Linked DNA regions of Mus musculus: all the other regions are reported to be linked to region 1. Evidence: microRNA targets listed by miRTarBase, many of them from high-throughput screens and not tested one by one. Region 1 holds a microRNA gene; each other region holds the end of a gene's coding sequence.

Region 1 (5,074 bases):
CAGAAGTGGAAGTGGCAGTGGTGGCGCCAGCGCCAAAGAGGCGCAGGAGGATAGGAGCCAGCAACAGGATGATATCGAAGAGCTGGAGACCAAGGCAGTGGGAATGTCCAATGACGGTCGCTTTCTCAAATTTGACATCGAAATCGGCAGAGGCTCCTTTAAGACAGTCTACAAAGGTCTGGACACCGAAACCACTGTGGAAGTCGCCTGGTGTGAATTGCAGGTAATGCCCCACCCCCTTTTTTCTTATTCGGTCGTTTGGATCCCAAATTTGGCTCTGTTAAGCCAGTTTGTCGAGTTCACTCTTTACTTGTAATTCTCTGACTCTGAGAGGGCGGGAAGACTAGTGTCCAAAGAGGTTGAAATTGGGAGATTGTGGAGCTTGTAGTTAGTTAGGTGTTTGGAAAAGATAGGAACTATTGGTGTCAAGAAGGATTGTTATCAGCCAGGGGTAAAAAGAGTCATTTAAGTACAAACTTGTGTGTTTAATGTCAGGCAGGAGACATGGAATTATTGGAAAAGGGTTTCCCTTCGTGTTGGGGATCGAAGAAGTGGGGCCTGGACAAGTGCTTTCCCACTGAGCTAAATATATCCTCAGCCTTTGGGAATTTTTTTTTTTTCTTTTGCTTTAAGTAAATATCAAACCTTTTTTTCCTGTACACTTCATTCTCTTCTAAGCCTCTGCAATAATGAACTGCCTTGTGTGTTTCCATCTCTAAAATCTGATTGTTAGACAAGACCCTGTACTTTTAAGGAACAACTTTCTTGATAGCAGAATATCATAGCATAGTAGCTAATAAAGGCATGCCTGGAAATCCCAACTACTTACTCTATTGGTCGAGGCAGGAGAGCCTCAAGTTCAAGGCCAGTCTGGCCTGGGTAGTGAGACACTGTCTTTTTTGTTTTGTTTTGTTTTGGTTTTTTCGAGACAGGATTTTGTATAGCCCTGGCTGTCCTGGAACTCATTCTGTAGACCAGGCTGGCCTCGAACTCAGAAATTCACCTGCCTCTGCCTCCCAAGTGCTGGGATTAAAGTCTTGCACCACCATCAAAACAACCACCCAGTCCCTGATTCCCAACTCTCTTTCCCTTTAAGTGCTTTCAGAGTAGGAAGGTACAGTATATACCTACCAATATAACCACCTACAGGTGCTTAAGCCTTATGGCTAGCTGTGATCTGACACTGTTCATTAGTCTGTCTTCATCCTATTCAGTCCATAGTGAATAGTAAAAGTCCATGCAAAATTGTATAAGTGCTTTGAAAGTTGTGATAATACCATCATTGTTGTAATATCTTATAAAAGACTTTTTGTGAGTGTCCCAAAGTATAGCCCAGACTGTCCTGAATTTGTTGATCCCTCTGCCTCAGCCTCCAGAGTATTAGAATTATAAGTTAATGCCACTATGCCAGGGATATAAAAGATTTTTAAATGAAACTTCCCAAGAGTCCGAGGGATTACAGTGCTTTCTTCCTTCCTTCCTTTTTTTTTTTAATCTCAGGGAAATTTTCAGGTTATAAATAAAGTGCAGGTATATGCTAGATTAGTTTGGACTACTAATTGCTTGAATTATAGCAATAAATAAATGTTATTATATTTATTATATAAATTTATATTTATATAAATAATATAATATAATATAATATAATATAATATATATTATAGCGATAAATAAATGTTATTATAAAGCATCTATATAAATATTGGTTTGTTAGCACTTGTTCACATCCAGAAATGAGCATGTATTTGTGGTGGAAGCAGAATTTCAGCTACATCATAGATGAAAGTGCCACTACTGATTTCTTGTCAAGAAAATGGACCAAACTGAAATAGGATTGGAAAGTAACTGAAATAATCTCAGAACTTGATTTACCCAAGAATTAATAAACAGCTTGGTTTCCAAATGTCCCAAGGTCATTTGAAATGTGAAAGGAATAATGTTTGGAATTTGCTTCTATGTGGTGGTGCATGCCTTTAATCCCGACACTCGGGAGGCAGAGGCAGGCGGATTTCTGAGTTGGAGGCCAGCCTGGTCTACAAAGTGAGTTCTAGGACAGCCAGGATTATACAGAGAAACCCTGTCTCAGAAAAAAAAAAAAATGGAGTTTGCTTCTAAATATCTAGTGAAGGTGAGCAATTACCCAGCTTCAACAATTATCAGCATATGATTGTTCACTTAAAGATAGTCGATTAAGCTTTCTCTTCCACTTCTCTATATGCTTGAAATTTATTTTCACCATTGGAAATGAGTGTTCGTTTTGTTTTTATTTTAAAAATGTGAAAGAACGTTAACTCAGCATGTGGAAGCAAACATGAAACTGGCAAGTTCTTGAACATAATTCCTTGAGTTCAACACTTAAAATGGAACTTCTAAGCACATTAATGAAGTAAAATAACCAAAAAAAAAATTACCCCTTGTTAATTTTATAACTGATAAGAGTTGGAAATGTGACAAATATTTATTTATTTATTTATTTATTTATTTAATATTTTGGTTTTTTTCAAAACAGGGTTTCTCTGTATAGCCTGGCTGTCCTGGAACTCACTCTGTAGACCAGGCTGGCCTCGAACTCAGAAATCCGCCTGCCTCTGCCTCCCAAGTGCTGGAATTAAAGGCGTGTGCCACCACTGCCTGGCCGTGACAGGTATTTTTTAAAAATTACTTTTAGCCGGGTGTGGTGGCACACGCCTTTAATCCCAGCACTTGGGAAGCAGAGGCAGGTGGATTTCTGAGTTCTAGGCCAGCCTGGTCTACAGAGTGAGTTCCAGGACAGCCAGGGCTATACAGAGAAACCCTGTCTCAAAAAACAAAAAAACAAACAAAATTACTTTTAGTAGGTTTATTTTGTTTTTTGAGATGGCTTTTTTTTTCCCTTACCCTATATTGTGAAGACTCATTGTGTACTCCAAGCTGGCCTTGAATCCATGATTCTTCTGCTGTAGCTTTTGGAGTATTGGTATTACAGGACCATGCCAGACAAACTTACCTTCATTGTTTGTTTGTTTGTTTGTTTGGTAAACTTGTCAAAATATGCCTCTCCTCCTACTGGGCAGTCATACTCAATAATTTAGATGAAACTGATTTATAGGAATTTTTGTACCAAGGATCTATTACTGATCCAGGAATTCAATTCTTCAATTACATTTGTTTTATTTAATTATCTATTTATTTAAGATTTATTTATTTATTATATATAAGTACACTGTTGCTGTCTTCAGACACTCCAGAAGAGGGTGTCAGATTTCATTACAGATGGTTGTGAGCCACCATGTGGCTTTTTATAAATGTGTGCTTTTACTTTTTATTTTTATTTATTTATTTTTAAAGACTTATTTATTTTATGTGTATGAGTGCACTGTTTCTGTCTTCAGACACACCAGAAGAGGGCATCAGATCCCATTACAGATGGTTGTGAGCCACCATGTGGTTGTTGGGAATTGAACTCAGGACTTCTGGAAAGAGCTGTCAGTGTTCTTAACTGCTGAGCCATATCATTCCAGCCCATATCATTTTGTTTTAGATCAAAATATTTGGGTTCAAATTAAAGGTCAAACCTAAGGATAAGTAAAGCTTTGAAAAGAAAAGGAAAAAAAGTACCCCTTTGACATTATCTCCCTAGCAGTGTGATTTTAAGCATGTACTACCATGCTTAGCTTTAAAATTTTTAGTGTATTAAAACTAGAAGGGTTTTGGGAAATAATAGCTCATTAGGTAAGGACCCCTGCCACTAAGCCTGATGTTCAATATAGCACCCACATTGTGGAAGGAGAGAGCCAACTTGTGAAAGTTGTTTTCTGACCCCTGCACTCTTGCTGTGGCACATGTGTACCTACATAAATAGATGCAAAATTGGATAAAATCAGGCTATCTCTCCCACCTACTTGTTTGTTAAATAAGGACCTGAAATCATAGGGCATTAAGTAATTTAGCTTTGGTTAAGAAATTACAAACATTAAAATAGTTATGATATAGCAATTTGGAAGGTATTGAAGGCAATTACAAATTAGACCTGGTAGCAGAGGCCTATAATTTTAGTTATTCAATGAGGCTGAAACAGTAAGATCACAGGTTCAAGGCCTGTCTAGGCTACAGAGTAAATTTTAGGTCAGCCTGAACAACAAAATGAGACCTTAACTCAAAACTAGAGTCAGAAAGAGAAGAGAGCTGGGGATACAGTTCAATGGTAGAGTACTTTAGTGCAGTGTTAGAATATTTGTTTAATAGCTACAAAGTTCTGGGTTCAGTCCAGAAAAGGTAAAGGAAACAACTGTGGTTACTAAAATAAAACTTGCCAGCCAAATTTCTGGCATAGATATGCTCTTCAGGGCCTATCCCATCTTAAGGAGTCTTTGGCAGTTGTAGCTTCTCTGAGAGGGAGAATCATTATCTTTTATCATGTTGTTCCCAACTGGTAGGTTTCTCATGGGCAGTCACAAATCCATGCAACAACAAATTGGATTTAGTAGGCTATTTTTAAAGAGTCAAAGAGTTGAGGAGTATGTGTTGGGGGCATATAAAAGGACTTGGAGGGGAGAAATGGTGGTGGATATATTTGTGTATACATGTTAACACTCTGAAGAATCAAGAAGAATTTAAATTTTTGTTTTTTAGAAAGGCCAGGCTGTCGTGGTACATGCCTTTAGTTCCAGCACTTGGGAGGCAGTCACAGGCTGATCTTTTGAATTTGAAGCCAGCCTGGTCTACATAGTGAGTTTCCAGAAAATCCAAGACTACACAGAGAAACCTAAAAACAACTGATCAAATAAAACAAAAACAAAAACAAAACCCCAAACTACATTTGTAGTCTCAGTAGATAGCTAATTAGTAATACTAATTTCAAATGAAGTTATACTAATTCTGTGTAGAAGTGGCTGTCAGGATTTCTAAAGTTCTCTAATAAATGACAAATTTAATTTTTATCACTTCATATGGGGATCTAGACTTTGGAGGATGAATGCGTGGGGTGTACAAATTAAACTTCCTATTGTTAGGTTATTTTTAGAGTCACAGTATGTGTAGCTATCTACCAAATTGTTTTCAATAATAAATAGGTAATATTTTGATACCACAGTCT
Region 2 (5,074 bases), not on the chromosome of region 1:
ATTTATGAAAAAACAAGAAGATTTTTAGTTAAGATATCAGGGAAAAATGTGAAGTTTTGATTATGTTGTTTTAAAATGTGATCTTTTTAGTGCTCTGAGGTGTTTTAAAATACCTTCTCATAGTTCCTTCATCTTAAAGAGTTCTAGGAGATTTAGTGGACTTCGCCCGTGCTGATAGTCACGTATCACTTTGAACTGCTGATTTAGATTGCTTACTCATGGGCATGTGACTGGGAGCCAGGTGCAGAACACGAGAATCACCTGTAAGTCCGTGGTGTCCATTGTGGTTTCATTAAGTTCTCTTTACAATTAATTAAACCAGTAATAATGTAATAATTTGCTGTGAGGGAGGAAAAAATAGCCTTCTGCATGCTTGGAAAGCGCGCTCTTCTAACGAGCATCCTGAGACTTTGATTTGGAAGGGGTGGGGGGAGGGGCAGCTTCTTACTATGTAGCCTGGGCTAGGCTCGACCTTGGTTTTCTTGCCTCAGCTTCCCAAGTACTGGGATTACAGCTATGTGCCAATTGCTGCACCCTCTAGCATCATTTTTCAAAACTACAAAGTTTTTGTTGTTCGTTTTAGACAGGGTCTATGTAGTGCTGGATGGCCTAGAACTACAATGTAGTGCAGACTAGACTTGAGCTCAGAGGTGAGCCTACCTGTGGGAAGAAGAAAACCTTAAATGTTTCTATGAAGAAAATCTTAAGAGTAAAACAATGCAAGTAAAACCTTAAGAGTTGAGCTTTTTTTTTTATTATTTGTATAGGGAAAAAAATGTCCTATTTCACATGACTAAATTTCACCTTCAGTGAAACATTCAGTGGTCATTTCAGGCACATGAGAGAAAAATCTGAAGAAACACAAACAAATGGTGGCCTGCGAGGCAAGTTCCACCTTTCAACTGTTAGTAGACACAACCAAAGGGGGTAGAATGGGAGGAGAGCAAACAGGAAGTGTTATTATTGGAAACGCTGGTGATAATGGCAATCAATTTGCCTCCTCCCTAAAGAGTTTGTGTGTAAAATAAAAAGAGTGAAATGTCAGAAAAAGAATAAATGAAATACTGACAAACTGTAAATAGGAGGGGTCTGACAGTGAGGGTAGCTCATGCTGGCAGTGTCCAGCACCTAACTGATGGGGACGCTGGCACTGGCTGGCTCTCCATGCTGATGGGGTGTGCCCCTTTACTCTATAGCCACACAGAGCTGGGCTGCCCAGATTCACTTCCATAAGGTAGGCTTGAGGGTTGTGGAGTTGCCGGCAGGGACAGTGGCAGGGGGACCAATGATGCTATCTATACCCACTATAATACTGGTCATAAAATGTGACTGTTGTCAACTTTGAGAAATTTGGCATTTTCTGGACTATGATGTCAAGGTTGTTTTATTTAATCCAAAAAAATCTGAGCAAGACACACACATATAATTTATTAAAAACACATTAGAATCTCACTATTTTCAACAGCCTAAATTCTAGCAACATATACAAATATCAAGTGACTACAGTACATGCCGAGGTAAGAAAAATACATTCTGGGGGAATATCACTGACACTCAGCCACTTCCACTTCTTCTGTACTTGAGTAAGTTTTATTTTCACCATTCCCAGTGCCAAACACAGGAAACGAGAGAAACTACACACAAAATGGTCTAATTGAGATTGGTGCCACAGTTAACCTAGATACCCTACAACCATCCAACTTCCTAGAGTTTTTGCAGTTCAAGGACTTTCAAGTTCAACCCAAAAGGTAGAATTAACAACTCCTTTCCATACAGCGGAGCCCCGTTAGTTCTGCTCCGTAGAGGATTTGGAACCTCCCACCCCCCCATAATTTCTGGGTTCGTTCTAGTGGTCTTGTCTGTCTTTTTTCTATCTTGCTTTCCTACTCCCTTTACTGCTCTCTGGGTGACAACGTGGAGCCAAGGCATGGAAATGGCTACAAGCACTTTTACTGCTTCATCCCTGGGGGCAGGTGGAGGAGGAGCATACACAGAACACATGATAGCTGTAACTACTGGATAAATTCTGTGTGTGAACAGCAAATCAACCCACTGTTCAGTGGAAAGTGCAAATAGTGAAACATGAATTAAATAACTGGACTAGTCCTGTTACTCTCAACAGGAACTACTACGATCTATAAACAGCATTTAAAATAAATGCAAAGCAGAATTCATAATATCTGTGCTGGTTCCAAGGATCAAGTGACAGCCAAGTTAGTGTAACTTTTCTGAAATCTCCTAAGGCTGCCCTTGCCACACTGCTGTCTCTAATCAATTGTACTATCAGGAAAAGAGAAACCCACTAAGCCACAGTGACTTAAGTATTGAATATCTCAAGCAAAGAATTAAAGCAAAACAAAATAACCAAGGGGTTTGGTCAGCAATGGTTACTTTCACATTTTACTTGATTGTCTTCCAAAGATTTACCAGACATGTAATCTATAATACAAAAAATTAAAAGGAAAAGTACAAAACCAGAAAAAAAAAATCATTTGAATCAGGCTCAGCTCTTTATCTGCAAGAGAAAACCATATAACAATAACTAGGTATGTTATGAAAACCATTGGTAGAGTGCAAGGAGAGCAGTGGCCATAGGAGTCAAGTCTCACAATGTGTAACGCATCAACAACCATGGCCTCACTCTGTTCTGAAACAGTTCTGGGACACACAGTTAGAATAGTAGGCTTCTTTGGGAAAACAACTTCATCTTCAAAGGGTCTCTTAAAGCTTCCAATGGTTAGGTGACTCAAAGAAAAGGCTACCCTCTGCCCACTAAGCGTGAACGAAAATGAAACAGCTAAAGGTTTGCTTTGTTCCCACCTGAAAGAGGACAACTGCATCTTGTGCTCTACACATTCTTACATGTTTTAGTACAGCATCTGTGCTTTTTTTTGCTTCATAAGAACTTTGAAACAAAATGTGCACTGATTTTTTTCAACAAGGAGAGAGACTGTGTCCGAGACTCTGCAAGACGAAAGGCGGTTTATAATGAAAGCGATGCAAACTGTCTGAGGAGGTGGCAGAGAGCCTGCCACCAGTGCAGAGCGACGTTTTAAAACGCTGATGTACTTGTGGAAGGAAGCACAGTTAACACTGTTCAAGGCTATCCAAATCTAGACAAGTGTGGCAGGTCTACAACCAGGATGGTACAAGCTGAGAAACGGCTGGGGACCTGAAGGCCGAGTGTACTCTAAACCTACACACAGGTTTGTGGCGAGGGATCAAGTTTGTGTTTTCATCCGATGTGCTGCTTCAGTGCTAATCCGCTGTAACATTTAATTTACCCGACCTGACGTGAGTGCAGCCCGGTTGTCAAGCACTGACAAGTAAGTTGCTGGGAAGGATTCCACACAATTCCGATCGCACAGCATCTCTGTCAACCAGGTCTGACACAAAGGACCACTTAAGTGTCTCCCCAGACAGAAGGCAGAAATCACACAGACCTGGAGAACGCCTGTTGCCCGTTTTTCTTTTTGTAGTAGAGAGGATTGAACCTATGACCTTGAACTTGTTATACTGGAGCACTAAACCCCGGAGCCTGAGCTCCACCCCTTATCCCATGAGCGGCCTAGGTTAATCCTGAACTCACTCTGTAGACTATAAAGCACTGACCTTGGGGGTCCACTTGGGTCAGTTGGGATTGCTGGCTTGAGCCATCAGACCTGGCTCATGTTGGCTTTCTTTTTCTTACAATGGTTTAAAATTAAATTTAAAAATTTAATTGAAATTTAAAAAAAATTTTGCAAATTTTTGGGCTTGTGTGTAAAGAAAGCAAAGAAGGTTAAATTTTAGTTCCCCCTTAACTTTGTCCCTAAAGTAATTTACAGATTACTTTAGTGACGCAGAGGACTCCCTTTATAGCTTTTCTACATCGTAAGTTGCTTCTCTCCCAGTTCCCTGTGGAGAAGTATACTTAAAGATGGGAAGGGCTGGCTTCCCGTGACTGCTGCTGGATAGGAGCTGCCAGGGTTTATGAACACAGGTTGGAGCAAGGCCACCAAGGGTGGCAGGGATGAGCAGAGCTGAGACCAAGCCCTGTATGAGGCGGTGTCAATACTGTTAAAAGTGTCATCAAACAAGGAGTCAGTCCTCCAGCTCACCGCAAGGCAGGCTGTTCTAACTCTGCACCTTCCTAGGGAAATACAGAGAAGTGTATGTGGCCACAGCTAGAGCAATGCTTATCACTGATGGATGTGAGAAAAAAAAAAAAAAAGAATGCAGACGGCACTACAGGATTAAAGGAGAAGGGACGCGTGATAGTACCCACTTTCACAAAGGGAGAATTTCAAGCCATTCGGTATTTCAAGAACAGTACCATGCATTATTGCCAGCAAGGCTTACAGAACCACCTCAAGTTCATTAATGTACCTGCAGCATTGGTAATAAATACTCAGTGATTTTCAGTTTCTCTGAAGTGCATTATAGGGAGCTCTGTTTCTGTATTAAAAATAGTGTTTTACAGTAGTAACAAACAGGACGCTTGACATGTAGCAGGCGAGCAGTAACTGTGTCACACAGTAACCCCTTTAAAGCAAGATGGCAAGGCAAGTAGTTTCTTGTACCTCGGTCACCACATTCCCCTAACCACTTCAGTGACAGATACGTAATACATTCTACATCACTACCACTAAGAATGAAAAAAGCCATGTGCTTTAAATGGATGCCTTGTCAGAAAGCAGCACCACCGTCAAAGGATTTCTTTAAAAGCATCAAACTTCTCATCCCTTCCTGCTCCTGATAGCTCCTGGGTGCTCTGGGGCACCTGGTATACCAGTTCCTCTGGGGTAGCAGCTGACTTCCCACCTTTTGGGGTGTCATACTGAGCCTGGCCTGAGGAACAGCTGTCAGTCCTGGAGAGAAGAGTGTTGTAAGTTCCCACTAAAGCGTGAGGCTGGGTCCCTGCAGTTTTGAAGGTGGATGTGGAGGGCAGACCAACTGAGGCTGTGGGGTGCCCTGACATGTCCATGACGATCGGGGTTGCGTACTCAGGCCCCGTTACGGGCAGTGGTTCAGCATAGGCGTGGTACACTTCCTGCATTGGAGAGTTGTAAGGATCGAGGTCTGCATAGCCTGC
Region 3 (5,074 bases), not on the chromosome of region 1:
CCTACCCTATGTCCTATGGCCAGGGCGGAAGCTATGGTCAGGGATACCCCGCGCCCTCCTCTTCTTACTTTGGCGGTGTAGACTGCAGCTCCTACCTAGCGCCCATGCACTCTCATCACCACCCGCACCAGCTTAGCCCCATGGCACCCTCCTCCATGGCTGGCCATCATCACCATCACCCTCATGCGCACCACCCACTGAGCCAATCTTCAGGCCACCACCACCACCATCACCACCACCACCACCACCAAGGTTATGGAGGCTCTGGGCTCGCCTTCAATTCTGCCGATTGCTTGGATTACAAGGAGCCCGCCGCCGCCGCTGCTTCCTCTGCCTGGAAACTCAATTTCAACTCTCCCGACTGTCTGGACTATAAGGACCAAGCCTCGTGGCGGTTCCAGGTCTTGTGAGCCCAGGAGGGAAAGGAAGTGGAGAAGAAACGCAACTACCTATACCCTCCATGGTCCCCATCCTGTTGCTGCTGCTGCACCACCCGCCTTTGCCTTGGCTTTTCCAAAACTTAATTTTCAGTCCCCCAAAAGATATTCATTGCCTGCACTGCCGCTCCCATCTGTGTGCCACTTGGTTGGGGGTGGAGGATGCAGCCCTTCTCCCCCTTGGAGGTGGGGCCCGGTGCTCCCACTTGGCCCTCCGTTTCTTCCCGGAATAGCAGTACGCTCTCGCTCTCAGCTCGTGCGTCACCCCTTCAAGTCTTTCTGGACAGCTTTTATGCACCTGGAGCCTTCTGGGGCTCTTCGCTCTGACCCTCTGTTTTGAGCTCAACCGTTTTATTTATTCTTTCTGGACACTGAAGTCACTAACTGGCGTATATCAACCGTTTGGAGTGTGTCCATACATACACACTCCTAATCAAACCCTCCACTGTTTCTCCTAGCAGACTGTCGCCCCTTCAGCTGCCCTTGATCTAGCTCCCCACCCGCAGGCCCGAGCTTCCAGCATTTCTGTCTCACCAGTGGTGAGCGTTGGGCCAGGCTCGCGGCAGGAGTGTGCCCCAGCCTCCTTTCCTACCCTGCGCTGGACTGATTCAAGCTTCCGCCTCAGCGGGAATGCTGTACATAGTCAGGTCCGTTCCAGGGACCACTTAAAGTTTTTAGTTGCTGTTGGTTGAACTGAGCATCTCTCTTGTTTTAGCGTCCAAGAAACAGAACTTTAAAATATATACATCACATATATATATATATATATACACACGCACACACACACATATATATATAACAGAAGCAAAAAAATTATTTCCCCTTTGTTCCCGTTCCTCTCTTCCTCAAACGATGGTGGTTCTTATTTTTCAGTTATTACAAAGCTGTCCTGCCCTCTTCACACCTCCCTTTGTGTATTTATTAAAGAAACCCGCTTGGTTCCAGGAAGCTGGGCGCTAGAGGATCGGAAGTGAAGGAAACAGCTAAGTCAGGATACAGGGGTCGGGGCTAGGCTGGTCAGGGCGCACGACTGACCCTTCGCCAGTCTAAGCACAGTATCAAAGCTTCCGCTTAGAAACAAACAGACAAACAAACAAGGTGAAATTACAGCATTGTGGAAAGAAAACCAAGCCCGAGTTCCAGGTCCAATGTTTCTCTCTCTCTCTCTCTCTCTCTCTCTCTCTCTCTCTCTCTCTCTCTCAAACACCCTGTCTGTTCTGTGAGTTTTTAGTGAACCTTCCTTCTCCGAAATCTGCGGAGAGTACCTGTGTACCTATCGGTTTTGGTTTTGGCCGCTTGGTTCAGTAGGTGGGAAAGTAATTTGTAAATTTGATTTGTCCGATGTGAAGATCACAAATTACTTGTTGAGATGTAAGGCAGTCCGTCTCCTCTTCCTCTTTATCTACATTATTTCCCGAAAATAAAAGCAAATTAATGAGTGGCTTGTCAGCGTTGCTCTTCTAATTCCAGCTTCGGGTCTCGGTCTCAGGGGATTAAAAGGGAGGAAATCTGTGTTAATAACCCGCGTGTTAATGATCTGCGCGAAGCTGGAGGCTGAAGAATAAGGCGGGAAGTCATGGCAAGGGGAGTTCCCCAAAACGTTCTTTTAGGGAGTGCCCCCTCATCGGCCCGGCCTCTCCCTCTTCAATGTTTTGACCCCGCGCCTTCTTGCCTTCTAGGACAGAGACAGGTGTCAGGACTCAATTCCAGAAACAGCTCCTTTCTCTTCGGAGGCAGGAGCCTGGCACTGATTTCTTCACCCTAATTGCCAGCACCAGAATGAAGAGGGGGAGAAGGGGGAGGGGAAGAGGGTCGGGAGGCGGGAAAGGATGCGGGTGTAATGCTCTCTGAGCTGAGCCAAGAAGGAAAACAAAACGATCAAAAAAAAAAAAAAAATCTGTGTCCTACAGTGGAGAAGCGTCTCCCGGTGGCTTCACGGTGACTGTGGGATCCTAAGTCCCAACCTCGTGCTAAGGAGTCTTTCTAAACCATTAGTTCGCACAAGAAATGGTCCAGTTATTTATCTATCTTTCGTAAAGTTTCGTTAAAGCAGACAAAGGCGAATTGACCAGTGCGAGTTTCACTTCCTCAGAGGAGAAGATGCCCGGCCTGCAGCCATGAATGGAGAGGGCAGCTCGCCTTCCGTCTGGGGGGACAGAAGGGCTTGTAGGTACTACTCTTCCTAGCTCGGCCACTGGGACGGGACTTGGGAGACTAAAGTGGAGGGAAAGTGTATTAATAACGTCTGCTGCCCGAGAAAATTCGGGGTCCAGAACTGTCCAGATTGTTCTGACGGCTCCTGTGGAGGTGAGCCCAGAAGCCGCGCTTTGCCCACGGGCCGGAGGAAATCAGGAGACAACGAAAACTTGCCCGCGGAGGCAGCGGTAGCCCCTGCTTCTAGTCCGTGAGATTGGCGCGGGGCTGGAGGTCGGCAGGGCACTGGAGCCTTGGCCACGGGGAAGCCGTCCCCGCCGTGTCCGGCCTAGGGTTCGGCCTCCCAGCTCCGGCCCAAGCTTCCTAACTGAGTCCCCGGGGCGGAGGGAGAGCCGCCTGGGCGCGCGGGATCCCTGCAGGGCCAGCCGCCCCCGCGAAGGCTGCTCTGGGCCTGCTCCCTGCCGCGTGCGCCGTGGCCCCTGGCCCGCGGGCCCCGGGCGTTCGCGTGAAGCGGGGCTGGAGGTCCGGGCGGAGGCCTCAGGAGGCCGCCGGGTCCTCCCCACAGGTCCCGCCCTAGGCGTCCCGGGGCTGAGCAGCAGCCGCTTCCACGGGGTCTGGAGGCCCCGAGGCCCTGACCCGCCAGGCTGGGCCTAGCCGCGGCTCGGACGAACCCTGTGGGCGGGCCTCGGGTTCGTCGCGGTTGTCAGTTTGCCCGACTGGCCCCGGTGGTTCGCGAACTTTCCTGGTAGAGCCGGCCGGTGTGGGTGGGAGCGTCGGCGACGCCTCGGCTGTCCCCGCTCAGACGCGCCGCCGAGCACGCCTGCAACAGGAGGCTTCGAGGAGGAGCGGGCACGTGCTTCCCCCTGGGCCTGGGCCTGGGTCGGGGCGCAGGGCCGAGGGCGCGCCGGGGCGCAGGCTCCGGCCGCGGGAACGCGCGCGGGCCGTCGGGGCAGCGGGCCGCGGTCGCCCGTGTGGAGTTTTGGGGGCCTGGGAGCGTCCTTGGGTCACACCTCTCTCAAAGCCGAAAGCGCGTCAGGGGCTGGAGCCCGCAGACGCCAGGTAGAACTACGCGGTCTCTGGAGCCCGAACTCTGGAGCACGGAGCAGCACGGACAGGGCCTGGGAGCTCAACGAAATCTCCACGCGTCCCGAGTGCAGCCCGTGTCTGTCCGCTCGCCCCGGAGGGCCGAAAGGCCTGCTCTTGGCGGACATGGGTAAGGGCTCTGGGCACGACAGTTGGGCTACCTCAGTGAGTTCTTGGCCCACTGAAACTCTGAGGAGAGTCGCGGGAATAAGATGGCTTGTTGGAGGGCTTGTCTGGCTTTGATATTGGCTACAGAGGGTTGGGAAGAAGGTGATATTTCAATTGTGAATGTGTGTGCAAATCCTTCTTCCTTCCTTCCTTCCTTCCTTCCTTCCTTCCTTCCTTCCTTCCTTCCTTCCTCTCTCTCTCTCTCTCTTTCTCTCTCTCTCTCTCTTTCTTCTCTTTCTTCCTCTCTCTCTTTCTCTCTCTCTCTTTCTTTCTTTCTTTCTTTCTTTCTTTCTTTCTTTCTTTCTTTCTTTCTTAGAAAAGCCTTAAAGGATCGAGGGGCGGGGGGCGGGGGGTGGTGGTGATGGTGGTGGCGGGAATTTGGGAATAAAAAAGATGAAAAACCTTAATTAGTGTCAGCAGATTCACACCTGCTGTAGTCCAGAGACCAAAACTGAACCAAACCAAAACATCAAGTTTTAGTTTAAAAAGAAAATTACCACCACCAACACACACACACCTTGTAATTTGTGAAAATAGCACTCTCCATGGCTATTGTGATTTTTTTTATTTAAAAAATAAGAGATAAATTCATTACTAACTGGAAGACTCAATTATAATGTTAATGATGTCAAAGATGTCTGATGTCAAGGTTGTGTTTAAAGGTGAAGAAATGAATATATCTGATATACAACTGTAGCCAATACATACATTATTGGTAAAGAGAATTTGCATGATTATTATTCATGACCAGAAAATGACTTGGCTTTTGATGTAGAATCAATTTAAGAATAGCAATAAGATATTTTTATAAAGTTCCCCAATTAGTGGGGTTTGGTGACATAAGCCTATAATCCCAGCTCTCGAGGGCAGGACACAGGAGGATCAGGAGTTCAGAGCCAACCTCACCTACATAGTAAGTTAAAAAAACCTGCCTGGGCTACAGGAGACCCTATCTCAAAAAGCAAAACCAAACAACTCCCTATCTGCTCCCCCATGGACCCCAAAAGAAAGAAAAAACTTAAAGGCAGAAAAGTTACATGTGACTTTGTTTTCCACACTATGCCTCCCTCTTTCTTAAAGTTCAGAATCTCATGGAAATGGAAAAGTCTCAAGATCAACAATAATGAAAATCAATAACTTAAATAATATTGTATAATAATGAATGTCTTATTTGACCACAGGAAGTTACCTCAGTTATCTTAAATAAATAAGATGTTTAGATAAGTGTTGGG
Region 4 (5,074 bases), not on the chromosome of region 1:
AAAGCTGTAGACTCCCTTTCTCTTCCACACCCATCCTAGGATGATTGAAGGAGCCGTCTGACAGCCTCTCTCTAACTAGGAATAGCCACAGGAAGCTGTAGTGTCTTGGGCTTAGATTCCCAGGTCTTGAATAGATCTGGGCCACAAGCTCAGCTTAGCTAAGTATTGAGAAGCCAATGACAGATTTATTGTGGCAGAAGGTACCCAGGGAAGCAGCTCCTGCTCATAGCTCCTCTATGAGCAACAACCCCTTCCCACAGGCTTCCTGTCAGTAGTCTTGACCTCTTCTCTCAAAAGCCTTGGCCACAGGGACACTTCCTTGAGGTGCTGTAGGCTCCCCCACCCTCACCCCAGTCTTCAGACATTCACACACAACCATCTCAGAGACTGGGACCCAAGTTCAGTTAGTTATAGGTAACCACCGGGGCAGGTGCTCGCTCTTCCTGACTGCAGCACAAGCCCTCTGCATGGGCTGCCTGATGCCCCAGACTTTGATCAGCTCTAAGGAATATTCTAGAAGAAATGCTACAGTCTTCCAGGCCCAGTTCCTGTTTTGCAGGGAAAGCCTTGTCTTCAGCCATAGCACCCTGAAGGTGCCCAGTCTCATCTGTAAGGGAAAGCTTCATCGGGAAAGCCTTCTGGGTTTGAGGGGCTCTGGCCTCAGCTCCTCCAGGTTTGTGAGATCTGAGGTCAGACAGAACTGTACCATGCTTTGTTGGTAGGTTTAAGCAGAGGTGACTGTTTGGTTGTTAGATGTGGGGTTGGAGAAATGGGACTGTGGTCAAGGGCACTGGCTGCTCTTCCAGAGGATCTGGATTCTGTTTCTAGCACCACAGGAGGCTTACAGCCATCTGCAACTCCAGTTCCAGTAGATCTGGTGCCCTCTTCTGGTTTCCGAAGGCACCAGATAGTCAGGCAGTGAACACACACCAGACAAGCACTTGTACACATAAAGTACAATCAATCTTTAAATAAGATATTGTTGGACAGGATTAGAGGACTGCTCTCCTTCCCATGCCCCCTCCCCTGGCTCAGCAGCAACTAGAGCCAATGCATATTGTACAAGGGGCAGCTCCTCATTGGCAGTGAGTGACGAAGCCCTTGGTGAAAAGGTCAATTGGTCTTTGAAATCCTTGCCAAGAGACTGAACTTTCTGTTTGAGCTGGACTGAATGATACATACAGATGGGTGAACTGGCCGTAACTGAAAACAATCTAGCAGGAACAGGACTTCAGGTGCTGTTTGCTCCAGCATCCCAAACATTGTTACTGCAGATCTGGGTTTCCTATGCCTCGTTCAATACCTCCTCTCTGCCAGCCCAGAGGGACTATGTGGAACATCTTCCTAAGTGCTGGGGTGGTACCTGTTGAAAATGGGATGAGGAAAACACATGTATTTTTGAACTGGTATCTGTGACTAGGGGGAATGAAATACTCCAATTGGCTTAAACTAATCTGGATCCATCCAGGAAAGAGGGGAGGAGTCTATTCTACCCTAACCTCATGCCTCTGGATGATAATAAAAAAAATATGTTGTGCTAAATGACAGTCCAGGCTGGCATCTTCACAAGGGTACATGGGTGACAGAGGAAAAGCCCAACACCTTCTGCAGGTGGTATACACCTGAGAGGCACAGGACCTTGAGGTGCACCCCCCCTCCCCAAGTACTACTCACAGTCCTTCAGTGTGGGCTTTTGACCTCTCGAGTGGAGTACGAGACCTCTTTCCCAGAGAGGATGAGGGAGGAATTAGGGTCACAAGGGATGGCATGGAGAAGAGGTATACCTCTCTAGACTCTTGCATCTCCTTTGAAAATGGACCCAAGGGACCACTTACCTCTTAAAAAGTGGACACAGTTACAAGAAGCTAGTGGCAGTGGGGATTGACACTTTTAAATGAGATTTTAAAGGATAGAGGCATTGTGTGATTTACATTGCTAAATACTATGTGCCTGATACACTCTTGAACCAGGGATGACTTGAATAGACTCAGGCTGTTTTGGGGTCCTGCCGGTAGGTTACCTGGCCATCTGCCTACATAACCCTCAACAAGCCCAAGTGCAGTTTCTTTCTCCTTGGGCTCAGCAGGGCTTCACTGGGAGGTGACGATGGCAGGACCCAGCGGAAGCACTTACTTCCCCTCACCTGCAGAGGGTCTTGTGATCCAATGTGTGTGGTAGTTACAAATAGGCTCTTTAGAACCAGGGAGAGCACAAGTAGGTGTGTGTTTCCCCAGTGTGTAAACACTCTGAGGTGGCTTCTTTGAAAACCAGGATGATACATTATGGTGGGCTACATATGAAACGTCTGAAGGCGTGGTCAGTAGAGAGGTGATGGGATCATAAGGGTTCTGAATTTATCCACAGATGAAGGTGAAGACAGGAAAGCAGGTCACTGAGGTGCACCTTTAAAGACCCCGTCCTGGGTTCTGCTATTGGCTGCCAAGAGGCAACCACCTCCTCTGCCGTGTGCTCCTGCTGCTATGGTGTTCTGCCTCATCCCCAGCTCACAGCTGACCTCTGCACTGAATAACCTCAGACTATTGGCCAATTTAAACTTTCCCTCCTTGAAACTGAATTCTGTCTAGCATTTCTCTGACACAGAAAACCGACATGAGGATGGGGCAATACAGAGTGAATGTATGTGTGAGGTGGGAGGAGTATTTGAACAGTCTAGGAACTGTGCATTGGTCCTGAGAAGACACAATCTTTTATTTTTATCACCATTTCTGTTTTTTCCTTCTGGTAAAGTTATTATGAAGAACAAGAGAATGTAACAAAAGTAGACCCATGGTTTCTTTTTGTTCAAGAACATCACCAGGTCAGAGCAAGCTTAGCTGCTAGGCATCTCCCAGCAGAAGGTGGAGAGGAGTGGGAAGGCAGATCCCAGAAATCTTAGCCTGCTGTCCCTAGAAAGGCCTCCTCTGAGGCTCTGTACAGAAGTGACTTGGCCATATCTACATTGAACATACGGACGCATTTTAGAGACAGACTCACGAGACATACATTTGTGATTATATTTAGGTAGATATATGACAACTGTGCAGAGAAAGCAGAAGACAACTAGGAGGAAAGTCAAGACCTCCCAGGCATCACCTCTCCATGGACACTGACACAAATACAGTTACAGCCCCGGGATCAAACATTCACCTGTGTGTGTCCAATTAATAAAAACACGCTTTCAGAGTAAAGCAAACACTGTGTTTCTCTTAAAACCATTATTTAGAAAGTAAGATAGGAAGTGTGAATGGTGGCGTAAGTATTCTGTTTTACACAGACTACCATAAAACAAACGATGTAGTTCAGACTGGCTTCGAACTCATGGTAATCCCCCTGCATCTGCCTCCCAAGTGCTGCGAAATGGGTGTGAGCTCTTAGCATTTTCTCTTAAATCCCCGGTTCTGACCCTGAGGTTGCCAGATGCAGACAATTAGGGATTGGAGTATGTTTTTGTGAAGATTCAGGGATGCTGTTCAGATTCATTCATTTCTGCTGCTGTTGGTCATGTGGTCACTGCTGCGCTGTGATTCCTACTTCGTAAGTGATGGTGACAGTGTTCTTCTGCTGGGCCACAGAGCAGGGTACAGTAGGAGGCAGCCCCTGCGGCGCCTGACTAGGTGGGCTTGGGAAAGAACACTGAAGAGGCAGAAGTAGACCAATCCTGGCCCAGATAGGCACTCCTGATGTGAGGTGTCTAGCTTGGAAGAAAAGGTATTACAGAGATTTCTTCAGAGAGGCTACATCTTGTGAGAAAAACATACCTGGACACAATGAAATGCATTTCTTTCTTTAAAAATCAAACAACATCATCAATCACCAGGGCGCTGGTCTCTTCCACTCACAGCTCAGGATGGGGCTGCTCTCGCTTTACCTGGGTCCGAAGGCTCTGGGACTCCACACAAATCAAGACAAGCTTTATTGAATTTAAATTCTGCCACCTACCAAAAAAGCTTTGGGGACATTCAGTGGTTGAAGGGCACACAGGTCTTGCCAGGGGCTGACAGTTTGTGAATTATGAATTCCTAACTGAGGGAGGCTTGGCAGGGTCAGGCAGCAGGTGCTGGGACAAGACAGGTTCTCCTTGCCTGGCTGCCTACTCTGATGGGGACTGCAGATGGGCCCACACAGACATGGCACATCCTCTTTCAAACCTGGGTATTAGTCTTCTCTTTGGTTTTTAATCTATGGAAGGCAGAAACTCTCTGTTCTGTTCCTTTTCCTCTCTAGATAGAGCAGGAAACACAGTAAGAAAAATAAATTAGGTCCTTTGCTGCCTCTCAGTGCCCCCTGAAGGACAAAGAGGCTCATGGTAACTTACTGTCCAGCACAGCTCTGATGGCTCCAGTGAGTCCCTGGCTCAATCCCTGAGTGCCCAGACTTCGACAGCCTGTGTCACACCTACATTCTTCTTTGGATAATTTTTTTTTCTTCTTATTCTTTGATCTCCATATCTATATACTGCTCTTCTCAATATTTTGATAGAAACTTCAGGATTTTAGAGGCATAAAGACCTCATCTAGTGTCCGGGATCTGCCCTCCCTGCCCTACATATGAGAAAACCGAGTCACGGAGAGGACGGAACTTTGGCCACGGACATTCAGCGAGTCAGTGGCAGAGCAGACTTCAGGCCCAGGCACCACCCCTCCCACCCCAGCTGTGGGCCCTCAGTCAGCCTTTGGCAGGGACTTCCTGTGGGAGGGGGGCACCAGGTGTGGGGGCAGGCTGTTGGGCAGCTCGTAGCCGTCCAGCTTGATCTTGATGAGGTGCTTGGCCAGCGCGAACTCCTCCTCGTCTAGCATGCCGTCGCAGTCGCAGTCGGCCAGCTTCCAGATCTTGCCCAGGACACTGTTGGGCAGCTTGGAGGTCACCATCTCCTTCTTGGCGTTGACACCCGATATCTTGCCATTGATGGGTGACAGCGTGTAAAAGAGTTCGTCATACACCGGCTTGTCTTTAGCCACGACCCACTCTTCCTCATCGGCCCCCTCCTTGGCCCCCTCCCCATAGCCCTGGTTGAAGGGCCCCTCTGTGGTGCCATCAAAGGCGCCGCCCTGCACCATCTGCGTGGGCATGTTCA
Region 5 (5,074 bases), not on the chromosome of region 1:
CCACAGTATACCTTTGAAGATGAGAGCACTGTTTGTCAATCAGTTCTGTTCTTCCATTGTATAAGTTTCCAAACTGGAACTCATGTGGACAGGCTTAGGTGTATGTGACTCCCAATGAAAGATTTCACTCTCATATTTACCTATTTTCCAATCCAATGAATCCAATTGATATTAATGATATGTGCATATGTGGGGCATCATTGCCAAGATTCAGACAACCTACCTACCATTTTCATACCCACAAAAAAAAAAATGAGTCTCCCTCTCCAGCATTCATCAGCTGCCAAGAACCTCTTAACTCCATGAAGTATACTATTTTATTTTTAATTTTTGAGAATTTCAATATGAGTACCATATTTGCATCATTCCCCCACAACTCTTCTTCTGCTTCTCCACTTCCTCTCAAATTCAAGACATTTTCTTCTTTATATTATGTTACTTGTACACGTACACACACACACACACACACACACGTGTGTGTGTGTGTGTGTGTGTGTGTGTGTGTGCACATGTATAGAAGCAACTTAATCTATTTACTGATGCTCATACTACATGTCACGTATAAGTTTAAGTGTGATCACTTTAGATTTAGTAACACATAAGGATGGCTCATCCCTGAAGAAAACTGATTTTCTCTATTGCTGTAGCCACTGATTGCTTGTAGCAATGTCATCTAGGGATGAATCCTTGTGAGATTTCCATATTTACACTGACATGTGTACTGATGTTATCACTATGCAGGTCTTGTTTAAGATTACTGAGAGTTTTTGACATTGTTGAGATTGTGTGGGTGCAGCCTCCCTGGCATGTCTAGAAGACTCTATCTAGGTGCAGACATCTGGTCTTCTGGATATTACCATCTTTCTTCTCCATTGTTCTTAATGTTCCCTGAATCTTAAGTGTTTTTCCTAAACAGAAAACCACTACATGTCTTATCATAAATACTCCACCTATTTAATTAGGCACAGTATAATACAGAAGCTAAAATAGGAAGACTTATAGTTTGATTTAAAGACTTAGAAATATAGACTTAGAAAATTAATATAAAGATTTAGAAGAAAGAGAGACTAGTGAAGCATAGAGGATATTGCTGTCTCCTTTGCTTGCCCCTCGGATGTAGAAATTAAGTACCTATTGCTGATGACACCATGTATTCCAAACACAGGGTCCAAAGACATCTGAGCTGGAGTTGATTTAAGTGCCTTCCCATTCATGTACCAGAACATACCATGCAAGCTTCTAAAGGAAGGAAGTGATTAGTAGTCATGTACAGTTATGATGCCTACAAATATCATCAAATGCTATCAAGGCATAATAATCCTAAGGCTGCACAGATACCTCACATAACTCTGTAGTAATCAACAGATCTCCAATTAGACTTAACATGTAATCAAAAGGGGAAATCATATGTGACATGGGAAGCCTAGCTATTTATTCAGGGCTGGTGAAGTTATGAATTTTTGGAGGGAAATCTACAACCATTGCTGTATTCATTAACATAATTCCTAAGTTCATTCTATATATTTGTCCTTATACCCACATCTAAGTGTAGTCCTCACCTCTCATTGTGAAAAGTTCTCTTTGTAACAAAGACAACGAAAACTAAGGAAAATCAGAAAAAAATGTAGATGTATGGAGCCCAGTTAAAAGGAATACATGTATAAATGACTCCCACACCTGATATTCAGAAAACATTGAGGAGTAGGAAAGCAGAAAGACTGTAGAAGACCAGAAAATAAGGGAGAGCATGTATCCTAGTAACATATCTTTGTCCATCATTTCATTTTAATCTGGCATGGCTTTATTTAAAAATAGGCATCTAGTAGCAACATTGTTATGTCTTTATATTTGCTTCACAATATTCAAGCTAGAGGAACAAGTCAGATAAGGAACAATGAAGGAATCAATTGTGAAACTGCGGGAGTCACAAACAGAACATGATTACTCTACTGTTAAGAACCCGGGTATCAGGTTATTTATTACATGTTGAAAATTTAATATATGTCATGCTGCATTATGGAAGCAAATGTAAAGAGAAATATATGACATCATTTCATTTGGAAGTAGAATGTACTTTAAAGTGTTAGTATCTATATAATGACTATATATGACTATATATAAGGAAATAATGCACTTCTTATCAAATCTTTCTTAGAAGGTGAAAAACATAGTTTTAAAAACATTAACAGCCAGGCATGGTGGTGCACACCTTTAATCCCAGCACTCGGGATGCAGAGGCAGGTGGATCTCTGAGTTCGAGGCCAGCCTGGTCTAAAAAGTGAGTTCCAGGACAGTCAGGGCTATACAGAGAAACTCTGTCTCGAAAAACGAAAAAAGGAATTAAAATATTAAGTAAAAGAAAGTTTCATAATTATTTTTCTGTTGCTGTGATAACAAAGTCTACTCATACAAAATATTTCATAAGATATGTCATAATTCTCATGGGGTGGAATACATGACCCTCATAGCCAGAAGCCTGAGAAGAGGCAGACAGGTTGGCATGGCAATGGAGCAGTTGCCAGAAGCTTATATCTGACTCTCAAGCTTGAGGCAGATAAAGGGCTGATGTGGAATAGTACTGGCTTTTGAAACCTCAAAGATTACCCCTACTGAGATATATTCCAAAAAGGACACACATTTTAATCCATCCCAAACAGTTCCACCAATCTGGGGCCAAGAATTCCAAAATGAGACTGTAGAGGAAATTTTTCAGGTACACCACCACATTCCAGTTCTTGGACCATGTAAATTTGTAGCTATATCACAGTAGAAAACACACTAAATCCAACTTGAAAAGTTCTCATAGTCTTTCACAGTACAAACACAGTTTAAAAGTCAAAAGTCTCTTATGATACTCAAGGCAATCTCTTAATTGTAACTCCTTGTCAAATAAAAAAAGCACAGTACTTGTTTCCCACATACACAGGCACAGATCGTACATTACCATCCATTCCAAAAGAGGAATGGAGACATGGTGAGGAAATACTGGGCCAAGCAAAAGGAGAAAATGAATATTTACATAACCTGCTGTATATGTTAGTTTGTTCAACTATAACAACCATTTAGCTACATGTATATCAAACATCATGCTACAATCTTTAATTTGCACTGTAAATTTTAGTTTGCAACAAAAATATGGACAGCATATTTACCTCTGACAAAAAATTTTGACTGGAGGAGAAATAAAAATTAAGAAATATAAGAGAGTGTTTTGTGTCTTGATTAGGTTTTATACCTATATTAACTTAAAATCCTGATTTTTTTTACATTAATCTGTTGATATTCTATCCTCTTAATTGAATTTATCACACACTGCAGCTTTAAAATTGAAATACTGTTTTATAGAAAACTTTACTTAACATTACATAATTAAGTTTTTAGATGCTACTCGCTCGTGAAATGGTATAAATTTAAAACAAGTTTGATATCAAGGGAACCTGTTATAGAGGACCTGATTGGAAAAATATCATGAGGAAAGAGTCAGAGAGAAGGAGAATCATGACAAAGTCAACACTCAACCATGGGAAGCTAAGTAGGACACTGTGAAAGGAAGAAAAGAGGACAGACACTCTCAACCTTTTCATGAGCATGGATATTGATGGATCACATTATTAGACTGAGCACACTCTTCCAATGCTGAAAATGGAATAGATAGTGAACTTGAAGGTGAGGAATCCACTGGGAGAATAGTGATTTAACAGACTTCTCTTGAGAATGTTTACATCTTTACTAAGAAATTTATATAAGAAAGATGATCATACATTTATTAAAACCTACAGAAATTAGTAAGTTCTGTGATTATTACTTATCTATTTAGCCCTTCATTATTGGAAAAAGTTTGTTTTAAAACAGAATTTTTTTTGCAAAGTATAACAAGGATTTAACCACTATCAAATTAAGTGAGCAAAGAAATATAACTTTTCATTGCACTTTCTTGAGTTTTCTTCTGAAGAGGGATTTGTCAATTGTGGTCAACACCTCTCCTGGACCCCATAGAGCTTATAAGGAGTCCCATCAAATGGAGTTGGTAAAGCTCTGAGCAAGATAGCTGCAAAAATACTGTACTCAGTATTTATAACAAGTTCAATATCAATCAACTTCTACAACATTGACTACTTCCCCAACTGAGTTAACCTTGGGTCATCAACTAAACAACATTATGAAAATGCCACAAAGTGATAAAAACATAGTTCTCTTCAAAGCTATTTATGCCTGATCAAAGCAGCTCTCAGTCCCTTCCAGACAGTTTTTATTTCTCTAGGTCTTCTTGAGGAACCCATCTCTCCACATTCTTCCTCCTCAGGAGAGTCTTGCATGGCTCTCTGCAGAAGAAGCTTGAGAGTCTTCCGTTGAAACCGATGGTGCCTAATGGAGCCAACAAGGAAGTAAATGATGGGGTTGGCACAGCTGTTAATACAGGACAGAAATATTGTCACGTTACGAAAACCACAAGGTTTATTATCATGAAATTCCCTAATCCACTCTAAGAGGAACCAGTAGATCCCATAGGGCAGACCAAAGATCAGGAAGACAAGCACTGTAAACACAATGGTCACATACAACCTGGTCACAGGAACCTTGTGTAAGCCACAGAAGATGGTAAGCACCAAGGCCAGACTGGATCCCAAGAGAACCACAAATAAAACAATTAACCATGCAGTAGTGATTAAATCAAATGTCTTACACAAACCAGGGCCACTAGTGTAATATAGGAAGCCACATTCCTTTCCTTCCAGGAGGCTCAACACCAGGGACAAGACCCAAAGCACAGTACATATGACAGCTGATGTGTGCCTTGGGCGTTGGCAGCGGTACCAGATGGGCCACATGACAGATAGGAAGCGTTCAGTGCTAATGACAGTGAGGATGCTCAGACCACTAAGGTAAGCAATGTTTAACACCATAGTGTAAGATGAAAAAAAATTAGTGGGGATGAAGTAGATGTCTAAGATAATATAAAAACAATGTACAATTTGAAAGCACATGAAGACAAAGTCAGCACCAGCAAGGTTGAGGATGTAGACAGAGAAGGCATTCCTGCTCATCTGGAAGCCCAGAAACCATAACACTGTGG
Region 6 (5,074 bases), not on the chromosome of region 1:
AAGCCAGGAAGACGGGTTCTGGAATTTTCCGAGGAGTCTCCCCGGAGACCCTCCCCACCACCCGCCTTCCTAATTGAGCCTGGCGTTTCCCAACAAGAATGTGTGCTGATGGGCTTTGATGAGAAGCAGGTTTTTGTTCCCTCTTGCAATGATGTCTCTGCAGCACTTCTGGCCAGAGTTGTTTACCCCTAGTTTTCATGGAGATTTGTGACACCGGCCCATAACCGATTTAACTGGCTGCAGTGAGCCAGCTGGCCGTTGGGGAGACAGGGTTTTGCCATGGGTAAATTGTCCGCCCCCCTACTCCCCAACCCAAATTCATATGCTGAGACCCTAAGTCCCAGGATCTCAGATCCCCACTTAAAGGGAGGGTCTTTAAAGAGGTAATTATGGCCAGGCAATGTCACTGGGTGGGCCCTAACCCATGACTGGAATCTGCAAGCCCAGAGAGGGAGAGCCAAGCCTTCTGACACCTGGAGGTCAGGCTTCCAGCCTGGAGAACTGAGAGAAAGCAAGTTTCTCCCAAGCTGGGGCCTGTGAGGTGATGCAGCTCCAGGGAGTGTTTCCGGTCTTATGCAGAAGGGAAGAAAGTGTCCACTTGGTAGTTCCTACTGTTACCGCCAGTAAGTGTTCTCTAGCCACTCACCGCTTAGCCTGTGGATAACAGAAAAGGACATATCGAGAGGCAGAAGTGTGTGTGTGTGTGTGTGTGTGTGTGTGTGTGTGTGTGTGTGTGTTTGTGTGTGTGCGTGTATGGTGGTCGTGGGGCATTGTCAGTCACAGTTGCAGTTGTCCATTCACAGGTCCCTGTGCCTAGTTGAGTCCCTGTGGCCAAAGTGAACAGAACGTTTGTGAAGTGCTGGGGCAAGTCAAGGGCTCTCCTTGCAAATACTGAAGTAAGGCCCATAGTCATCCCTTGGTAGGTAGGAAACCAAGGGGCAGGGAGCCACTGGTTTGCTGTCCCACTGGCAGAAGTGAGCTGGCCTCTGATTTGATTGGTTTGCTTCTCCCCTGGTGAGCTGGCCTCTGATTTGATTGGCTTGCCTCCTCACTGCAGCTGGCGTCTGATTCGATCCAGGCTGTTTGCTAGAAGCCTTTGTACACGCCACAGATATGCACATGGAAGTCTCATTGGTTTGGGTTGGCTCACTGGCCAGTGAGCCCAAGAGAGTCACCTGTCTCTTTCTTTCCTGCACAGGGATTACCAGTGGGCACCTCCCAGCCTCTTTGTGTTTTGTTTTGTTTTTATTATGGAATCAGGGGTTTGAACTGAGGTCTCTACGCCTGCATGACACTTGACTAACTGAGCCATCTCCTTGTTCTCCCTTTTAAACATGGAGTTCCACGTGTCTCTGTGCCTTAGATGGGATGGGCATGTGTAGAATGCAGACATGATCATAACAGCCTGTACTGAACACGAACAGTAGTTGCCACCTGCCCTTGACATCCAGCTACCCTGCCCACTTCCTGCCCTAACGCCAGGGGTGACCGGAGAACAAGTTTCCCCAGACTCTTGACAGCGTGTTGGAGAAAGTCCTGCACGGTGGGTGGCTAGGCACGAAGTGTGGCTGGTGTGGGTTCAAGAAGAGTGATCACTTTTCGAGCTGCCTGTCTCCGGAACTTTCTGTCTCTAACGTGTGAATAGACAGAGTAAAGTCGGCAACCCCTTAGCCCGTCTAGGCTTAGTCCCATAAGGAATTTGCTGTTTTGAATAGTTTTAAAAATGATGGGCTGCAGGTCTTCTTATGTTCACCACACAGGTGAACCCCCCAAGAAAAGCTTCTCCGAGCTAGAGAGATGGCTCAGTTAAACACTCTCACTGCTCCTGCAGAGAACCTGGGTTAAGTTCCCAGCACCCACATGGCAGCTCCCAGCCATCTGTAACATCTGATACCTACTCTGACCTCCAATGGCCTATGGTGCACATACATATGTGTAGGCCAAATGCTCAAACACATAAACACATAAGTTCTGAATTTTTTTTAAATGTGTTTCACATGCAGGAGACAGAGGCAGGCAGATCTCTCTGTGAGCTCAAGGCCAGCCTAGTCCACAGAGCTAGTTCTAGGACAGTCAGGACTAAGAAACCCTATCTTGAGAAAAAAAGTGTGTGTGTGTGTGTGTGTGTGTGTGTGTGTGTGTGTGTGTGATAGTTCCAGGATAGCCAGGGCTACACAAAGCAGCCCTGCCTTGAGGTGGGAAAGAGGGAGAGGGTCACTGCTAGTTTTTCCTTGGGAACATGCTTCCTGCCTTGCCCTAAGGATGAGGCTCCTCTGACTGGCCACTTGGTCTTTCAGGAGATCAAACACCATCCTTGGGATAAGGCAGAGGGCTTGCATATGCCAGGTCATCTCCCCCATGGCTACCAGAGCTGAATTAGTTGTTCAAGTACACACAGCTAGAACAGCCAGTTGGGGTCTGACCATATCACCCTTCACCGGGAAGTGATGCCCATCCGCTGGGACGGTGGCAGCCAGATGCAGAACTGAGAGTGTTGTTCTGTCTTCTGAGAGCCCTATTACAGGACGTCCCCCCAATATAATGTGGCCTGGGGAAAGGAACTTTGTGTGTAAACAAACACAGCATAAAGGTCACCTTGATTTCCTGTTTTAAAATCTGCATTTTCAATGAACTGCACACACTGGGAACCCCCCCCCCCCACCCCCAAGGACGCCATTAAGGAAACCATTGCCTTCCATCATCTGGAGTTAATCTGATGGAGCAGTCCTCCAGTTGGACCATCGAGGGTGTCTCCTCTCTTCCGCTCCTGGTCCCCACGGGCCCTTGTGCACATGGTAATTATGTACTTGGGATGAGTTCCTACAAGAGAAATGACTGCAAACAGACACTCAAGACTTCTGCTCCACACTTCTGACTTGTTTTCAGGAGGATACCGCTAATGCTCATTTTTGAGGAATGGATGGAGATCCACTCCCAGCGGACCAGGCTTCCCTGGAAGGCTGGTGTACAAGCAGTCATCCTGTGAGAGGGGTCATGTGTGAGGGGTCTTGGGCTCACTGCTCCCTTGCCTGTCCCCCTGCTTAGCTGAGCACAGGATGGCCACGCTCTGCAGATGACCTCAAACCCCAGCCTTCTTGGTTTACTGGAAACCCTGAGAACTTGTTAGTATGCGCAGTTCCGGGAACGAGGCACTGGGTCAGCTTCATCTCCCAAGTCAGCTCCCTGGTTCTCTTGCAGCTTTTGGATTCTGTGACTTATGCATGTCTTGTTTTCCCATCCTTTGGATTTCCATGTCAAAGTCCGGGAAGGCAGGCTGGTCTCTGGTCTCCAGTTCAGGTCACAAATGAGCCCAGTCTTATTTTCTTTTGCATTTTTCCTCTGTCTCTTCTTCATTCTTCCCCACCCTTCCCCCTCATTTTCTTTTTTTTATAAACAGGCTTATAAATCCCAGGTTGACGTCAAACTCACAGCAATCCTTCTACCTCAACACCCCAAAGTGCTTTGATTCCAGGCACACGCTGCCATAGCTCAACCCTATTTTTCAGATTAATGCTGTCACTACTGTCCATGGCTTCCCAGGGACAGAAGGGACAGTGCTGAGTGGAGGAGGAGGTCACATCCCTGGCACCTCTTGGCCTTCACTTGTCCTATGCACTAGGGTTTCTCAGAGAAGACAGGGTGACCTTTAGGGAAGGGACACAGAGACAGCACCCTCTTCACGTGCTACTCAGCCGAAGCTTCTGGCTCACGGTAGGCATTCTCTCTCGCTAGTTGTTAATTCATGACTATTTCCAAGTACTAAGAGCAGGGGCTGTGCCAGTCAGTGGTGGTGCACACCTGAGAGACAGAGGCAGGAGGATCTCTGAGTCCAAGTCCAGTTTGGTTTACAGAGCAGGTTCCAGGACAGCCAGAGCTACATGGAGAAACCCTGTCTCAAAAAACCCAAGAAAGGCAAAAAGAAAGCAGGGACCATGCAGTAGAGGCCAAGGGCATCAGAATCATTTGGGAACCCCTCAACAAACTCAGGGGATCTTTGACTGGGTGTCATCTGGTTAGAGACCCTGCGATAAACTCCTCAGCAAAAGACAGATCTCCACGAGTGGCTTGATTTCCTGTATAGGTTATTTGTACCCAGACAGAACACTTCCCAGGTTTAAGAATACTCTTTTAATCACAAACTGTGCATCTACAAACACATCTGTGCAGTCTTCCTTGGAGTTCAGAATGCCCACAGTGGTGATGAAGTGTACCAGAGACCTGGTGCTTAGAACAATCTCAGAGGTAAGCAGAGGCAGGCCCCTGCTCCCCTGCTAGAAGCCTCTGGCTAGGGCATATTCAGCTTAATGCAGAGCCACTCTCAAGTCCTGTGCTAACTAGGCTAGAGCAGGATGCAAGGTGGGACCTGCTCCTGATGCTGTTGCTGGGCTAGGCCCATGGTTCCCCAATCCCTCATCACCTGGGATACCTACACGATGCCCTCTGTGCGCTTGCTCCTCCAGACCACCAGTGCAGTCATGAGCAGCGTGACCGTAATGGGGAGCGCAATGAAAGGGCAGAGGATGCTGTTGGGAGGGTCCCGCAGGGCCCTGCCCGAGATGGGGCACTTGCTGAAGTATCGATGGTGGACAGCGATGAAGAATCTGTCCACTTCCGGATTGGGCCAGAAACAGCCAATCGTGTGCGCCACGTGCTTGGTGCAGTAAGTGAGCTCCCCATAGCTCCTGTGGATACAAAGAGAGGTTGTCAGGAGACCCAGCTGGGACTCAGCTTTGTCTGGACAGAGGCAAAGCAGTCCTTTCCCTCCCCCACTCTAAAAGCTCAGGCCTCAAGGCAGAGTTCTGGCTCTGGCAGGTGAGGACCCTAGATAGCTCACACCAGTCCCAGAAATCCAGCTGTCAGAAGGTGAGGTGCCCAGTGCCAGCTAGAGCCTTAGGCCATAAGACTGAGGACCAAGCTGACAAGCCCTGTGGCCATTCATGCTCCTGTTAACAGCTTACCTAAAGGTCCCCATGAGCTGGTCACCTACAGGACTCAATGACAGTGGGATGTGGGGGAAGCAGATGTTATGAGCCAGGATCTAAGGGAGACCTGCTTGCTTAGGCAAAGTCCTTGG

Evidence for each region. Region 1 holds the annotated microRNA mmu-miR-706 (AGAGAAACCCUGUCUCAAAAAA, at 2,786-2,807, shown strand). A microRNA usually pairs through its seed, bases 2 to 8, with sites in the 3' UTR of a target mRNA and lowers its output. Matches are read on the target gene's strand: a 7mer-m8 pairs with bases 2 to 8, a 7mer-A1 pairs with bases 2 to 7 and ends in A, and an 8mer does both.
Region 2: miRTarBase lists Dcbld2 as a target of mmu-miR-706. Seed matches in the 3' UTR shown: 7mer-A1 at 4,195-4,201, 8mer at 3,155-3,162, 7mer-m8 at 2,293-2,299, 7mer-m8 at 1,629-1,635 and 7mer-A1 at 1,343-1,349.
Region 3: the mRNA of Otx1 is a reported target of mmu-miR-706. Seed matches in the 3' UTR shown: 7mer-m8 at 885-891 and 7mer-m8 at 1,588-1,594.
Region 4: miRTarBase lists Ehd4 as a target of mmu-miR-706. Seed matches in the 3' UTR shown: 7mer-A1 at 4,549-4,555 and 7mer-A1 at 3,745-3,751.
Region 5: miRTarBase lists Mrgprb1 as a target of mmu-miR-706. Seed matches in the 3' UTR shown: 7mer-m8 at 2,308-2,314.
Region 6: miRTarBase lists Ramp1 as a target of mmu-miR-706. Seed matches in the 3' UTR shown: 7mer-m8 at 3,882-3,888.

Annotation. Positions count from the first base shown.
Region 1 is chr6:120,032,023-120,037,096 of GRCm38, reverse strand. Mir706 (microRNA 706) reads left to right here and starts at 2,786; the gene lies at 2,786-2,869. Wnk1 (WNK lysine deficient protein kinase 1) reads left to right here. Exons shown (of 28, transcript NM_001199084.1): 1 at 1-223.
Region 2 is chr16:58,465,403-58,470,476 of GRCm38, reverse strand. Dcbld2 (discoidin, CUB and LCCL domain containing 2) reads right to left here. Exons shown (of 16, transcript NM_028523.3): 16 at 732-5,074. The coding sequence ends at 4,688. St3gal6 (ST3 beta-galactoside alpha-2,3-sialyltransferase 6) reads left to right here. Exons shown (of 11, transcript NM_018784.3): 11 at 1-735. Among named protein-coding and RNA genes, the nearest start is that of Gm33475, 8.0 kb to the left of the region's middle.
Region 3 is chr11:21,991,576-21,996,649 of GRCm38, reverse strand. It overlaps Otx1 (orthodenticle homeobox 1), which reads left to right. Exons shown (of 5, transcript NM_011023.3): 5 at 1-1,886. The coding sequence ends at 410. Among named protein-coding and RNA genes, the nearest start is that of Gm32517, 4.4 kb to the left of the region's middle.
Region 4 is chr2:120,086,487-120,091,560 of GRCm38, forward strand. It overlaps Ehd4 (EH-domain containing 4), which reads right to left. Exons shown (of 6, transcript NM_133838.4): 6 at 3,001-5,074. The coding sequence ends at 4,662. Sptbn5 (spectrin beta, non-erythrocytic 5) reads right to left here and starts at 2,427. Exons shown (of 67, transcript NM_001370938.1): 1 at 1-2,427.
Region 5 is chr7:48,442,908-48,447,981 of GRCm38, forward strand. It overlaps Mrgprb1 (MAS-related GPR, member B1), which reads right to left. Exons shown (of 2, transcript NM_205810.4): 2 at 1,206-5,074. The coding sequence ends at 4,203. Among named protein-coding and RNA genes, the nearest start is that of Mrgprb1, 11 kb to the right of the region's middle.
Region 6 is chr1:91,222,714-91,227,787 of GRCm38, reverse strand. It overlaps Ramp1 (receptor (calcitonin) activity modifying protein 1), which reads right to left. Exons shown (of 3, transcript NM_016894.3): 3 at 2,592-4,682. The coding sequence ends at 4,427. Among named protein-coding and RNA genes, the nearest start is that of Ube2f, 25 kb to the left of the region's middle.